3 linked regions of the Oryzias latipes genome follow. The protein of the gene in region 2 interacts with the protein of the main gene of each other region in a biochemical or structural test. Links are inferred from orthologs where the notes say so. Each region holds a gene or a part of one and is shown on either strand. Other genes may lie near its edges. The genes, in order: ube2s, anapc2 and pttg1.

The links.
Region 1: the proteins of anapc2 (region 2) and ube2s form a complex in vitro, tested with the Homo sapiens proteins (3 studies listed by BioGRID and IntAct). The link is inferred for Oryzias latipes from reciprocal best matches to the Homo sapiens genes ANAPC2 and UBE2S.
Region 3: the proteins of anapc2 (region 2) and pttg1 form a complex in vitro, tested with the Homo sapiens proteins (2 studies listed by BioGRID, with this or other methods). The link is inferred for Oryzias latipes from reciprocal best matches to the Homo sapiens genes ANAPC2 and PTTG1.

The regions. Positions count from the first base shown.
Region 1 is NC_019874.2:19,503,272-19,508,477, reverse strand, and holds the start of ube2s (ubiquitin-conjugating enzyme E2 S), read right to left. Parts: upstream 3,493-5,206; 5' UTR 3,294-3,492; coding exon 3,291-3,293; intron 2,366-3,290; coding exon 2,218-2,365; intron 1,135-2,217; coding exon 944-1,134; intron 864-943; coding exon 525-863; 3' UTR 1-524. UniProt on the Homo sapiens protein: Accepts ubiquitin from the E1 complex and catalyzes its covalent attachment to other proteins. Catalyzes 'Lys-11'-linked polyubiquitination.
Region 2 is NC_019866.2:2,381,903-2,386,960, forward strand, and holds the start of anapc2 (anaphase-promoting complex subunit 2), read right to left. Parts: upstream 3,300-5,058; 5' UTR 3,091-3,299; coding exon 2,992-3,090; intron 2,593-2,991; coding exon 2,343-2,592; intron 2,281-2,342; coding exon 1,959-2,280; intron 1,887-1,958; coding exon 1,754-1,886; intron 1,694-1,753; coding exon 1,513-1,693; intron 1,438-1,512; coding exon 1,318-1,437; intron 966-1,317; coding exon 848-965; intron 741-847; coding exon 562-740; intron 491-561; coding exon 349-490; intron 279-348; coding exon 203-278; intron 132-202; coding exon 1-131. Other genes in the region: E3 ubiquitin-protein ligase RNF25, read left to right, coding at 4,656-4,675, 4,891-4,962. UniProt on the Homo sapiens protein: Together with the RING-H2 protein ANAPC11, constitutes the catalytic component of the anaphase promoting complex/cyclosome (APC/C), a cell cycle-regulated E3 ubiquitin ligase that controls progression through mitosis and the G1 phase of the cell cycle.
Region 3 is NC_019868.2:9,721,387-9,726,660, reverse strand, and holds pttg1 (securin), read right to left. Parts: upstream 3,487-5,274; 5' UTR 3,424-3,486; exon of another isoform or gene 3,317-3,423; intron 2,669-3,316; 5' UTR 2,664-2,668; coding exon 2,576-2,663; intron 2,491-2,575; coding exon 2,357-2,490; intron 2,266-2,356; coding exon 2,184-2,265; intron 1,752-2,183; coding exon 1,596-1,751; intron 970-1,595; coding exon 884-969; 3' UTR 823-883; downstream 1-822. Other genes in the region: ankyrin repeat domain-containing protein SOWAHD, read right to left, coding at 1-423, 537-564; sept6 (septin-6), read left to right, coding at 4,003-4,032. UniProt on the Homo sapiens protein: Regulatory protein, which plays a central role in chromosome stability, in the p53/TP53 pathway, and DNA repair. Probably acts by blocking the action of key proteins.

The sequences.
Region 1 (5,206 bases), on a different chromosome or scaffold from region 2:
CATGATCTCCTTGGATCTCGACTTGAAAACCTGATATGAATTGAATAAGCACAGTCGTTTGGACCCAAGAAGATCGAAGGCCGAGCAGTACACAGTACCATCACAGCCACACATGCAAAAAAAAAAACATCTCAAAAAGACATCCTATCAACAAAGACAACAATACTTTTGTCTGGTTGAAGGTTTTTGTTTTTTCCTCCGACTGAAAGTCATTTTATGTTATTCAATCAAAGTGGGCCGAATTTAAAACAAAACTAATGACATGGTTTAAAAGTAAAAAAAAATTTAATTTCCTTTTTTCAGGAGGAACAATAGCTTTAGGACTGAAAAGAACTAGATCTGTGATGACAGGATGATTTAAACAGATGACAAAACAAAGGCTAGGAAGGACATTCTTGACTCTAATCGGAAAACTTAACAAAAAATGTGAACAAAATGGTTCTGTCAGCACACTTCAATATTTATATTTACACTTCCTTTAATTCATTCACTCACTCAGACACACAGAAAGTTTCACTGAGGTATTAAAGTCGTCTCAATGCGCGCTTCTTATCGGCTTTCTTTTTCACTACATTATTGATGTTGCTGCTACTGTTGCTATTGCTGCTGGCTCCATTGGCACTGTTACCCAGACCTGCTGGTACACTGGGTCCTGCTCTCTTTGTAGGGTCGCCCGCGTGCTTTTTTGGCTGAGGGCCGTCATTCGGATCCTGAGGTGCCCCCGACGTACCGCCCATAGCGTGGATTTCTGTGAGGAGGCGGGCTCGGGACTCGTACTCTGCATAGTCCTCCAACAACAAGCGCCCGGCCTCCTCGTTCAGAGCCGACTCCGGGTTTGGATGGATTAGAAGACACTTGATGGTCTGCCGTCACAAAGAGAAAATCGTTGACGGACCACATACATCACACTCAGGGGAAAGATAGCCGATGGTGGAACTCTTACAAGTAAGATGTGTCTGAGCCCGAGCTCTGCCTTCCAGTCCCTCTTCAGCACATTCACACAGATTTCTCCTTTGTGGCCGACGTTGGGATGAAAAATCTTGGTCAAGAAATACCCCTTGGGTGGAACAGCAGGGAAGTCCTTCCCGAGGACCAGACGCATTCGGAAAATGCCACCAGCAAATGGAGTTCCCTCTGTCAAAGTATAAAGAATTCATAGCATGAACAGTATGTCTTAACTGCGGATACACAGACTGAATTTTTTTCAAGCTGAATCAAATCTCTAACTTTGAAATCATAGACGTGCTAAACATCAAAATTCTTTAAAATGACAGGCTTTTGCACATCAGTCCTTGATAAATCTGCACTATTTTTGCAATTGAGCACGGCTAAACATGCCAAAGAACTGGAACCGTTCTTCATCCACGTCTGCTCAGCTCTAAAGGAGAACAAAATAAAAAAGCTAAATGGTTACGTTTTGAAGCTGGATTATGCTTAAAATATGCCCAGCATATTAAGACGCACTTCCTCTCTCACAAAATACAAACAATTCACAAACATCCTTGCCTCACTGTCTTCACGGTTTACTTTGGATAGCTGAACTCTTACAATAGCACACAGCTCTTTTAAATAAAAAAATAACAAGAATAACCCAAAGGGTTCATACAACTTTGGATTTTATAGTTATTATTTGTGGTTACCTTCACGAAGTAATGTGTAGCCTCAGCCTCAAGATGGCAATCATGCGCTAAACTGTTTGGCATTTAAAAACGGATTTTGAATTATATATTTCTTCTAATGCATGAACTGAACTGCATGCCAATATTATGGGGATAAACCTTTAACAATAGCAACAATTTTTAAAAATTGTTCAAAAAAGCTGTGAGTTATAGCTCTTTGTTTAAACGATTACAATCTTTATTTGGAATGTTGAATTTTTGAAACTCCTACGACTTGCATCGTTATCACTTTTTAAGAATTTCCATTCAACATAAGCTTAAAAGCCCCTGATAAAAATAGATGCATCAACAATGCAATCCGTCCAATTTAAATCAGTTCTTCCTTCAGAAATGAGCTATATCTATCCACAAGTCCAAGAAAAAGATGGCAAAAGGCTCATTTCAAAATGAAATCTATAATTAAATGCAGAATGTGCAGTACAAGACATGACATTTTTAATAACGTAAAATGCTGTAGTCCTTTCCTATTTTAGGAAATACTGCCTAAAAATGGCAAATCTAGTTTAAGCTTTCCATGGAGCCTCACTAAAATCCTTACCTGGTCCTTCAATGGATGTGTGGAGTTCAGTTATGTCTTCCTCACTAGGATAAATCTTTATACCTTCAGGTGGATCTGCTGCTAAAGCTGATACCTCTTTGTAGACCAAGCGCAGAACATGAGGGGGCAAATTCTCAACATTTGAGTTCTATGGGAAAACAGAACAGGGCACATAAATGGGCATTTAAATGTGTAAAAAGCTTTGGAAATGAAACCGATTTGATAACGAGAGAAAAATACAAAGAAATCACTAAAAATATAACTTAAAATTAAACAAGATACAAAGAATTTTCATCAATCTCGTTTAGTCTGATTCTTCAATAAAATATAAAGATAATAAAATGAGATAATTTAGAAAAGATAAATCCAAGCAAGCCATTGTCGGAAAATATAAATTGCTGACCACATGAGAATGTACTTAAGGATGTCACATCTGCAACACCTAAGAAGCAGCAATAAAAATGCACTTCTATTTAAACTGCACGTTCAATTGATAAAAAAAATCCTGCATTATATAAAAGTTATCATTTATTTATGTTGATTTAATACAGCTGGATGCTACTGTGCCATTTATGCTAGATTTTCAGTTAGAAATTTGCATTGCTGGGGGTCAGGAGGATATTCAAACGAATGCTATGCTGCTAGAACAAAAATACAACATTGAGTTTCAAAGTTTTTGTCGCCAAGCTTAAAGAAAAGAAGAAAAAAAGTTTTACTGTAGGTAATATAAAGGCACATTAAATCAAGGTACGATCGTATCATGACTGATAAAATATAAAATTGCAACTCTTACTAATTATTATACAGAAATAAGGAGATAACTTTACGTTAACGGTTAGCAAGAGGTAATGCCTCGAACTTAGCGTTGATTAAAGGCTGTAAAAACGCGATCATTACGCTAAAAGTACTCCGTACTATTTTTAAAATCATGTTTTGGTTCCGCGAATAAAAAACAACTTTTAAAAAAGAAAGAAAATCAACCACAACCAGGGTGTTTTTGACGATCTAACACCGGAGCAAGCTAGCAAAAACTCCCCTTAGCTGTTAGCAATACGCTCGGTCATCTGTCTTACCATCTTCGAAAATGAGATCTTTTTGGTGAATGGTTGTTTACTGGAATGGGATAAAACGAAGCTTTTTCTGCTACTATTTGAGAAAAAGTATTTTGTAGAAACTTAATCACAAAAAAAACCCTGATTACTGTCCTTTTCGCTTTAACGTTGACACAGGAACAAAAATACGATCCTCGATTTAACCTGCTGATATTAACCAATAGCCGTCTTAGCAAGTTGACGCGTATGAAGTTCCTAACCAATCACAATCTAGATTTTCTATTACGTCATGATAGAAAAAATATATAAGCCAATCAGAGTGTAAAGAGAGCTGATGCTGGTGAGCCATAGGCCCGTTTGAAAAACTCAAACTACCGATCGATACTGACAGGAAATAAACCACAATCAAGAATATCGGGTATATTAGATTAGCTAATATAATTCAATCAATAGCAGTGAGCATTTTTATAACGTGAAAAATACATTTAAAACAAATATTCCTAATTATATTTTAATATAATTGTTTAAGCAAATAAGTGAGCTGTATTTCTGAAGCACCTTTTTATGCATTTTCTAAACACTCCCTGTGGCGGTTGTTGGAGTCTATTCTAACTACCCCCAGGTGTGGTACACCCTGGACTGTCTGAGCCACACAACCACATACACTCACATTCATTACTTTTAACCTTTCCTAAACAAATGCATGTTAGCTTTTTTATAAAAGGACACAACAGAGTCAATCAGGGACACTGACAGGATAAGGGCATTCAATAAACATGGTGCCTCAACCTGAGGACAGCTTTCCTGGTTTTGGAGCAGGATTTTGGACTAACAAAAAAAATTGTAGGCCAATAATAATATTAAATGACTGTCCATCATACAAATACCAATAATTTAGTGGTGTGTCCTAAATATCTATGAACATAAAAACAAACCCCGCAACTATCAGACAATAGAACGCTATTTTAGCATTGCTGTGATCTAATGCTTGTTTTTGCACAATTTGATTTTGAAACATTGTACTCAAAACTGGCTTATGTTCTGTGAGAAATCTTTAAAAAATGTTATGCAGGTCTTTGTACATCTCAAAGTTTCCTGTGCATTTATGAAGGAAGAAACAGCGCCAAATGCAAAATAGCACACAAACAGATAACCCAATAGTGTCCTCAGGACCTCTTGTGCAAAAATCAAACATATAACTGGGAATGGTAACCAATTTGGACACAACATTGATAGAGACAATGTAGATAAAACAGGGTTTTTTTTTAATCTCAAAAGGAAGGTAGGAGAGGATAAGAAGGTCTTTTTATTACCATTCTACAAAGCTCAACAGAAATCACTGTAAATGAGACAACAGACATAACTTTAAAAAAAATCAGAACATGATACACTAACATTCAACAATTTTGACAAAGAACAACTTCAGTTCTAAATTCAACACATAACATACATTAAAAGATTTGTAAAAGGTTCAGAATAGCAACATCTGACACAATATCAGACTAAAAAATAACTGATGGAGTGCTCATGGCATCTTCAAATTATCTAATTTGTTATTAAATATTGTTCTATGAATATCTCTCCTTTCATTGGTCCTGTATGGCTGAAATGTGTTCACTCAAAACAGAAAGGTTCAACAATGGAGTTTCATCTTACATTTTGCTGCCTTTGTAATGGCTATCAACTTGTATCTCTTGGATTGAACACAGTATTTCCTGCTCAGAGCAGTTTTGCTTTCACTGAATATGATGTTATCCAGTCAATCACAGATATAGTAGACATGTTGCATTCTAGGAAAATGTAACATTATCATCAACATTCATGAATATCATCACAAGTAATTTCTCCATCAAAAAAATTCTTAAGTTGAAAGACAATAATCCATATGAAATATTTCGTGTTTTATTTTTTAATATAAATGTGTATTGTTTTTCTTT
Region 2 (5,058 bases):
TCCTTCAGCGTCGGCCAGAACTCAGAGGACAGGATGATGGCGGACAGAGGCAGCGGCGGCTGCTCGTCTTCGCTCAGCCGCGACTCCTCCTCCCGGATGTTGCCGTTGATCCTGCGGGAGTCCGCCATGTCCTGCAGAGGAGCGCCGCATCAAACTGCAGCTCCTGGCGGAGGAGAGTCCAGCTGCCGAGTGTGGGGGTTACCTTCAGCATGACCTCGCAGTAGTGCATGTGAGACTCTCCGAAGCGAAGCTTCAGCAGCTCCACGTTCCGGATCTCCCTGGAACAGAGCAGAGTCCAAAATGACGAATGTGAAGAAGAAAATGAACGGATGACGGAGGTGATCAGACCTGGCGGTGTTGTAGTTGAGCTGCTGCAGCAGGCGGTCGGCCAGGACGCCTCTGTACTCGTCGATGAAGATGTCCTTGCTGCCGTAGATGCTGACCAGCAGGCTGATGATGTCTGAGGAGCGCCGCTTGGAGCCCAGCTTATCTGCAGAAGGGTCAGAGGTGAGCCGAAGGGCCGCAGCGGAGCGACTACCGTCGCACCACGCCATCACCGACCGGGCACGGCGTCCGTCGGGTCCGGGGTCCAGTCCTCCGGGTCGGTGCCTTCGTCGTCGCTGTCCTGCATCTCCAGCGTCACCGGGTCTCCGCGGGACAGCTCGGAGGCCAGGTCGGTGCAGCCCTCCGCATCTCCGGTCAGACCCGCCACGATCTGCCGCACCGTGTCCTCCCGAGTCCTGAACAGCAAGAGGCAGCGCTGCGGTTTAGACGGTTCAATGAACACATTTCTAACTGAAGCGGGTTTCCTGAAACCGCCTGTCAGACCGCAGACACGCAAACTCACCTGAGGTACTTTCTGATTGGCTGACAGGCAACCTGCAGGATGACCATGGACGGGTCCAGCTCTCTGAGGGCTTTGATGGCTGAGATGTAAACGGTGAGGATGTCAGAGGTGTGAACTCCTGCACACAAGTTGAGGATGAGGATTATTTTTAAGAGAAAAGCATTCAACAGAATCAGGAAACCTTTGGAGGATCCAACAGGACAGTCGGTCCTCCACAGGTTCTGGAGAGTCGTGACAGAACTTTACACCCACTGAGCTACAGGTTTTATTTCCCCTCACTGCTGCTAAGCCGCCGCTCAGGTAGAAACCGGCATCTTGGGTACCGACGACCTGCTGATAACGACCGGCTTCTGTGGTACCGGCCCGCCGCTGACATCTACTCCCTGCTTAGCTACATACAGACCTGCTGCTCGGTTACCAAACCACTCGGTTACCAAACCACTCGGTTACCAAACCACTCGGTTACTTACCCGGGTGCAGCAAACGGCTTTCGAAGGCAGATTTCAGGGAAGTGAGGAGCTGCTGTCGCTGGTTAGTTCTCTCCAGGCAAAACTTGAGATCCTCAATCGCAGCTTTGGATTCTGGGAAATCTGCACGAGATATGGAGCAAAGATGTTAGACAAAAACAAACAAAAAAAAAACTCCGTCGGGTTGGTGAGAGTCACCTCTGATGATGCTGAAGAGCTCCTCGATCCTCATGTTGACGTAGATCCTGCAGAAGAACTGGTGCATGTGGCACCTCCACTGCTTCATGACCGGACTGGCCAAAGATGCTGGTGCCGGACCGTCTCCCGACCCCTCACAGGCAAAGACTTTCCCCAGCCAGCCGAGCACCAGCTCCAACCACTGCAAGGCGGAAAGGTTCAGACGGAGCCGACCAGGGAGCTGCTACAACGGATGCCTCACCTCCTGGAAGTTCAGCAGGAAGGAGCGCTCGTACTCGCCGCGGCAGTGCTGCTCCATCCGCTGCTCGATGAGCTTGTGGAGGATGGAGGTGACGGCCTCTGAGCTGACCCAGTCCAGCAGCTGCAGTTTGGACCTGCAGCCACAAACAGCAGGTCAGACTCTGACAGACCACAGGAGCTGCAAGGAGCTTCGCTCTGGTTCTCACAGGATGTGGCTGAGCTGCTGCAGCTGCTCCAGGGCCTCCAGACACCAGCACTGGTGAAGCGGGACCCCACAGCCCGGACAGGCCCCTCCCTCAGAACCATCCGGAGCCTCTGCCCCATCCTCGGCGTTCCCCTCCTGCTTCATGTAAACAGAGAAGGTCCGGCTGTAGAACTCCAGCACACGCTCCTGCAGGACAGGAGATGGCGAGAAGAGCAGGAGCGCTCTGATGGTCGTGAAGGCCTGCTCCTTGAGCCCTTTGGGTCCCGGCCCGCTCAGACCACAGCGGCCCTCCTGCTGCCACGCCCCCAGCTTCTCCAAACCACCTAAGGAGCAGACGTGTCAGAAATGTCCGACAGCAGTGGACCCCCCGGTGTCTGGGTCTTACTCAGGAAGGGTTCCAGGCGGTCCAGCAGAGTCCTGAAGGCGGTGAGGAGAACCCAGGCCCGGCCCCTCTCCTCCAGCTCGTTCTCCGGCTGCTTCAGTCCACACCAGAACTCTGGAACCACGGAGGACGACAAACGCATCTGCAAGGTCTCCAGCAGCCACACCCCGAGAAGAGGAGCCAGACCCCGACGGCAGAGCAGAGCCAGGCCGTCCACGAGGTTCTGATCCGACACCGAGAAGCCAGGAGACACCTGCAAGAGAACCCAACGCAGAGCCTCAGCATCCGTCCAGAAGCTGCTGTACGTGCTGATGCCAGAGCAGATCCTGGGCTCGGATTGGCTTTTACTTTTAGTTCAAACACAGCAATGAAGAACTTTGAACCAGTTTTTTCTAAACTCAGGTGTGTTTGAAAGGAGGAGCAGATTTAAAAACGCCTTCAAAGCTTCATCTGTGACTGATATACAAATGAAAATATCACGCATATAGATGCAGTCTAATGAGTCTGATAATGATCCACAGATTGTTTTAAATGTGTGAGATTCATCAAAGTGAACTACCACCAGATTTGGAGACGTGAATAACCTCGATAAACTGACGTCTCACTCATGGTTGGACTCCGACACTGAGGTTCGGGGTTCGGGTCCACTCACCAGAGCCGCAGAGACCGAATCCCATGCAGCCGCGACACCCTGGACCGGTTCGGGTCCAGACATTTCCACAGACTCCGAGTCTTCCATCATTTCCTCCATTTTATGGGTTTTTCTCCTCAATTAACAAACCGGGCGGAAGTCCAAACAGGCGCGTGCCGGTTTTAAGAGGTTTAGTTGAAGGTACAAATACACATTATTTCTCCAAAAACACAGTAATATACAAAGAAAAAGATACTATTTATTAACAAAACAAAACCACGTGACCCCTCCTACTGAATGGCGGGTTCAGATCTTCTTTGACTTCTTCTACTGTATTTAGCGCTGAAAGATGGCAGTGCTGCCACCTACAGTTGTTAATGCGCATCGTTCTGTTTTTTCTTCGTTGTTTTAGTTGTTTGCATGATGTACGTGCAAAAAATTTAAAAGTTGTAAAAAAAAGTAGTCAAAAGTATTTAAAAGAAGTCTGTTTTGCATTTTGCATTTTTGTGAACAACTACTGCCCTCGTGTGGACAGAGTGGAAAACTGCAACACGTAATGTTTGTAACAGCAACTAAGAGCTGGAGAAAAATTATTTACCAAATTAAGTTAATCTTTATGTAAAATAATCAACATCGATCAAATTAATTTATTCAAAATTAAATGTCTCAGGTTGTAATAAAAAAGCATATTTATCTTATCTTATCAAAATTGTAACATTTACTAAAGTATTTACGAAATAAATACAATTAAATTAATAACTCAGAAAAAATGATTATCTTGTTGAAAAACTTAAAAAAATCAAATTTTACCCGATCAAAAATGTTTTTACGTGTGAGGATGGGTTATGACATGATATCTGCCTCAGTGGGCAAACAGATACAACAGAACAATGATTTATAATGGAAAAACACACAAAATGTGATCACAGTCAAAATCCTTATCGCCCTCTTGTGGACAAACTGGTGAACTGCAAGACAAGTTACATCCACTATGTATTTTCACGGAAACTATTTATTTTCACGTTTTTGAAAATGTCTCTGCATTTTCTTTACTGAATAAAATATAAGTTTAAATGTTAAAATAAACAATTAATTTCTAAATAAACTGTAATTTTTTTACCGGTAATTTGGTTTAGCAGGAACCAATTACCCTGTTTAAAAAAAAATTCTAATTAAGTTTGCAAACATCTTATCTAAGTTTTCCCTATAGACAGACGGATTAGTGGTTAAACATAATCTGTCTTATTATTAACTGTGTTTGCTTTAATTAACATATCCTTGCTGTTGCACCAACATCAAAACTGTTTTGTTCGTTTAAAGAAAAAACAAAAATTATCTGCCGACAAACAGCATTTACTTCCTTAAACGTTGTACTGAGCTATTTCCAATATGACATTAGGATTTCATATTTTAAATGTAAATGTTGAAAAAAATCTATACTTCTATTTTAACTTAACCTGAAAGAGGAGGCTGTAGTTAACCCCCGGAGCATAAAAATCTAAGTCTCACTTGTTTTAAAATATCAGCATTAATGTGATGTCACACAAACAACATAATCGTTGTATATCAAATTGTTTTTTACCATTTTTCTCACTGTGAAAAAATAAAAAATATAAAAATAAAAGCGTGCTTTTGTTCTGAAAGTCAGATAAATGACGTAACTTCCGCTAGTCGGCAGCAGAAACATGATGGCCGTGGAGAGCGAGTGAGTGTCTCAACAGTTCCTGTGATTTGTCTTTAAACGACTTTAAAAAAAATCAAACAGAGATTATTTAATGTCGCCTCACATAATCCGCTCTTTAATCTGAGTCACGTTTGTCCCGTTTGTCAGAAACGGGACAGTTAGCTAAAGGAAAGCTAACGAACAGCTGCTTATGAAACAGTAAACACTGTCTCCAATCAGCTGTTCTGTGTCCGCAGTGTTCAGTCGGAGATCGAGGTGCTGCAGTCCATTTACCTGGAGGACCTGCAGGTGGACCGGAAGCAGGACGGGTGAGGAACCGGATCTGCGTGCTTCTTTCTCGGTTCTTTTTCCTTTAATCTGTTATAATATGAAGATTTCTCGGCACAGAAAAGTCTCTGAGATGC
Region 3 (5,274 bases), on a different chromosome or scaffold from region 2:
CATGCTCCACGGGGTACAGAGCCCACTCTGCGTCCTCCACGCAGCAGCTCTGCGAGGGCAGCGCGCCCAAGCTGCAGCTCTGGCGTAGTTCTCTCAGGTACTTTTTACGCACGGACTGCGTGGGGGACTCCTCCGTGGAGTCCCTCCGCAGCGCTCCAGCTGCAGAGCCGTCGCTGACCTCCTGCATCTTCTGCAACCTCGACCTCCGCTGGAAGGCGCTGGGCATGACCTGCATTCCGTATCTGGACAGCCGCTCCACAACGGTGCCCTGTCTCACGGACAGCGGGACGTGGGCGTCGCTGCTGCTGACAGGCGAGTCTGCTCCGTTCCGGTCCATTCCGCCGCCCCCCCCCCAACAAACAGCCACTTCCTCCCAGACAACACCCTGAAGATGTCCGATTACAAAGTGATGGGATCCGGATCCTGTTAGGACGCAAAAAGTAAACATGAGGGCGTCCAAAACCTGCTCGACAGGTCCTCATTCTGAATGCACGCGTTCACAGAATCCAAATAGCGACACAGCAAAGTTCACTCACCTGCTCCTATACCGCAATCACACCGCATTCCACTCCCGCAAAAGCGGATGGGTGGTCTTTAGGCGCAATTTAGGTCCACCGTGTAGTTTCCACTCCGAGCAAAGACTGGAAATCTTTCCTCTGAAAGGGGAACTGAAAAAGTTCATTCTAATGAAGCAGATCCTCTTCAGAAGACTCCCAACACGTGACCACAGCTGGAGTTTAAAGCAGGAAGTAGTTCAGGTTCACTCCCCTGACACTTTTGCAGCCATTCCATCACACACACACACACACTCTGGACCACAGATGTTGCCAAGAAAACTTTATTTCAACACAAATAATAAAAACAGCCATTTAACAAACAGGCATCAGCAGTCAGTAAGCGGTTCTGGGGGGAATTCAACAGTCAGCTCTTCAAGGGTTTGTAGGAAGGCATCCAGCTCCAAGCTGTGATCTAAAAAGGAAAATGAAGAGGAGTTTATGAAGGCTTTCCTGCCAACAGGCACACTTTCCAACAATAACAGCCATAACAAGTGGCATTTGTTGGAAGTCACATGATTCAGTTAATGAGTAACCTACAGGTCTGATCATAGTTTGAACTGTTCAACACTAAAAGGATTAACAGGTAACAGGGAACAGCATTGTAGTTTAGGGGGAAAGCTTTCCTATTACGTTACAGTTTGGGATCATTCGACAAGAATCCAGTCTGTGTTTCCCCAAGGGCACTGAGGAGCCAAACAGGTTCTTTGCAACAGAGCTGAGTAAATGAAAATTCAAACTAGTTTATTTTGTATCCCCAAAAGAAAAGAGAAAAAAAACGAACATGTTGACTCCAAAGTTACTAGATCTGTGTACAAATGGTTTGAAGTTTTTTGTTTTAACAGTAAAGCAAACCTCAAAGTTAAAATATTTTCTGTCTAATTTTGAAAAACATGACACGATTACTTTTTCCTAGTATTTATTACTTATTTAAAGCACCATGTGGCGTTCTGTTGCATTTCCCTTTGTTGCAACAGAGTGATTTCCTCTGTAAGCTCCTGAAAATAGGAGATTTATCAGACGTATAAAGGAGAACCATACCTGGAAATCTGCACCCTTTTGCAGGTGAAGGGTCTGGGAGAGGCTGAATCTTTTCCAGGTCTTCCTCAAGAAGAGGCGAGGTAAAACAGGCCAATCCGGGTAGAGCCAGGCCACTGAAAGGAATGAAGTCCTCGGGTATGCTGTACTTCTCAAACTCTGAAAATATGAAGAAACTCAGGAATGGGTGAAAAATTTCCCAGACTGTGAATAAGCCCCTTTAAAACCAAAGAAGTCAGAAAAGACACAGCCACACATGGGAGCCGTTTAACACAGTGGACACTACCACAAGGCCACTGAGCCACTTCCAATTCTTTCACATCATTACATTTTGTTGCTTTTACTTGAACAACCACCACTCATGAGCAGAAAGACGCTGTGCCCGTTGATTATGCTCAGTGATAAGAGTGGATATTGTAAACATGGTGGCTATGAAATGATGTGACATTAGCAGTAAAGACTTTCAGATGGCATACAGCTGCAGCACGACCAGCGGAAATGTGGAACTACTAAACATCTTGGTTTAAAAAAAAAAAAAAAAAACCTCTTAAAAGCATAATTTGCCTGCAAACCAAACAAACATGACATTACCTAGAGGGTTGTAAGGAATAAAATTTTCCATTTTTGGGTATTCCTCCCCTTTGGCTTCAGAAGGATGCTCGACCTTGACTTCCTATTGAGAAGAAGGGCAATATGGACACACAGAAACAACAGAATAGCCTTTTGCTGAAATAAATCCATTTGTCATTAGTGTTTATTTTTACCTGTGGTTTTAAAACTTTTTTCTCTTGTGTACTCAAAGAAGGGGTTAAGATCTTTTTGTTCACCACCCCAAAAGCCTTACGCGCTGAATGGACAGGGGTATTTTTGACCAACATTGGAGACTTCAACTGTTTTTCTGGTTATAGAGAGCGAGAATAAAAAGGAGGATCATGCAGAGTTCCACAAAGATAATCTGAAACAGTTGAACATGTTTTTAATACCTGGAGCAGACAGAAGCCTCTGACGCATTTTCAGGGAAGAGGGACGGAGGCAAACATTCTCCTGTTCGGTGAAGATGACATTTGCCATCTTGGCTAAAAGGTAAAAAAAGAAAAACATTTGGTTTCAAAAAACTTTCAATTACTTTAAATGGGGTTTTATATACACAAATTCATAAAAATATAACTTAATTTATTGAAAGAAAAGGGGGAAAAAAAAGGTGCACTTTGAAATTCATAAGTAGACTAACAGAGTTGGCTATTCTCATTTTGTTTCCCCACAATTCAGGCATTTTGAGGTTCAATTACGGATTTATTTATTTTTTTTTTACATCAAAAAGGCTTTCTGCTAATTGGTGCTGATGTTTAGCATTAAGAAGAAGATTATGTATTGTCAGGCCCAAAACTAAACTAAGCTAAAGTAGACATTTTGTTTTCATCTAACAACTATGCAATTATTTACAAAATAATGGATACATTTCCCATTTGGAAAATGATTAAGTTCAGAATAATTTAGTTCAGACAACAAATATTTATTTACATTTACTGACAATAATGTAAACAGCAGAGATTTGTCCAATGCTACATTATTGTTAGCGGTTAACTTTGTTTGTCATGCAACGTTACGTACGGTTTAAAAATTATCGTTAGCAGTTTGTCGTGCAACGTACGGTTTAAAAAAAATTGCCCATTTACGTAAAATCTTGGAATGATAAACCAACGGTTACTTTCACGTCTATTTACCTTAGTGTTAGTAACCTCAAAGAACAATAGTTCTTGGTCTCAATCCGAAGGCTTTATCGTCTTTATCCTGCTTTTTGTTTTTTATCTAGCTACAACAGCTTCCGCACCTTTGTTTTTAAATCCGTTCACTTCATTCCATTGGTCGTTGTAGCCCTCGTGACTGTCGTTGGGCAGTGATTATGATTGGTCGTTGTACCCCACGTGACTGGCATGAATTAATTTCACCCGTGTCTCATTTCAAAGCGTTGTATGAACAGAATTGGGCATATTATCGAAAAAAAATAATCATTTAGTCAATACCAAACTAACAAAAATTGCCCATATTCATAAACTGGATAATTATTCATGCTAATTATTCCCCTTTTATTTTATTTTTTTATTGCTTGCTGACTTCCATTTACTAGCGTTCTATCGGACGAAACCATGTCTGCACCATCTTTCTTTATCTTATGTGTTTATTTTTCTATAAATAAATCCGTCTTAAAGATAAACTGCAGTTATATGTCTTTTTTTCCCTAGTACCTATTGTTGTAATCAAGACGCAAAAGCAAAGCTACGTGTTCTCTACATGATTAACTCCGTAGATTCAATGGTACATTCCAAACAGGCCATCTTTCTGAGGAACGTTAACTGTTCAGCAGGGCTGCTGAAAGAGGACAGTTGAGGGAGAGCTAACAGAAAGCATCATGGCTTCGACCGAGATAGCAAGGCAAGCTGTAAGTCTTCTGTTTTACTTTTAAACGCATCCATCAGCCTAAATATGAATTAGTTTTACGTTTAATGTGCGTCAAGGATATGTTAGATGGAATTAGGTGTTAATAAGGAACTCCCCGCATTTTTTGTGCCTTTCAGAAATTCGCGGCATCATAGCTAAACCAGTGTAATGTCACTGTATTGACCAAAACACCCCAAATATGCTTTGGATATTCATTTAGAGCTGTGCCTTTGTAAAATTGTAGATAGGAGTACCTGGTCTTAGCTTTTGTATTGTATTCTTAATCGAGAACAACGCCTTTATCTCCATGCTGGTTACAGCTAGCTTAATTATCTCATTAACGAAACTGCGCCTGGTAGAATTATTAGTTTTTCATTGCCGTCGTAACAAAAATGTCGTATATTTAAAAGGTTTAATCAATACAAATCCCCCCGTAGGCCATTCATTCTGAACGCCCCCATTTCAGCTCAGCTTCAGTGTTCATTTCCGTTCTGTTCTGTCATGTAAATCCCGTTAACTTTCAACGGGCGTTGTCTAAAAGTAAACAATATTTCTTGGTTACTATTACTTAGTAGTAATGCATATAAACAAGCGGTTTTAAAGCTATGCTAGGACAAAGTGTGCTGCTCTTTTTTTTAAGGGAGAAAGGAAACCACTTAGTCCAGAGGGAGTGCTTAGAATAGCAAGGTTGTCCAGTTTTATATCCCTTTGTGGCTCCAATGAATGAAGCAGATTATGTTGAGAGAAGATGCCTGCGATTTATAAAGTGTTTAGTCTCTCATTTCCTTCACACCTTCAGCTATTTGACCCCAATTCAGCCCCTTTAAAACAATCTGCCGCTTCCAAGTACCACCAGCTTGCACAGTTATTTTAAAATGACTTCTCAGAGTTTTTCTTTTCCCTCCTTTAAAGCCATCACCGTATTGGACAACACTGTGTTATGTTCAGCCACATAATGGCTGCTTGTGTTCATTTTAGCTTGTGGAGAGCTCTTGCTTTTGGCATGCAATGTACATTCTTTGCTTTTCCTGAATGCAGACATTGGCTCTCAATGTGAGACTCTCGAGCAATCTGCCAGCTACCCTCCCAAATATGCAACAACAGTGCTTTATAGCTTTGTCTTCCGAGCTATTCTGGTCCAGAAAGCAGAGCGCATAGAGGTGCAATCAGCCTAAAACCAATAGTTCACATGATGCACAGCAGACTAAACGGTTTCAACTATTTGCTCCTGTAAGGGAATCTA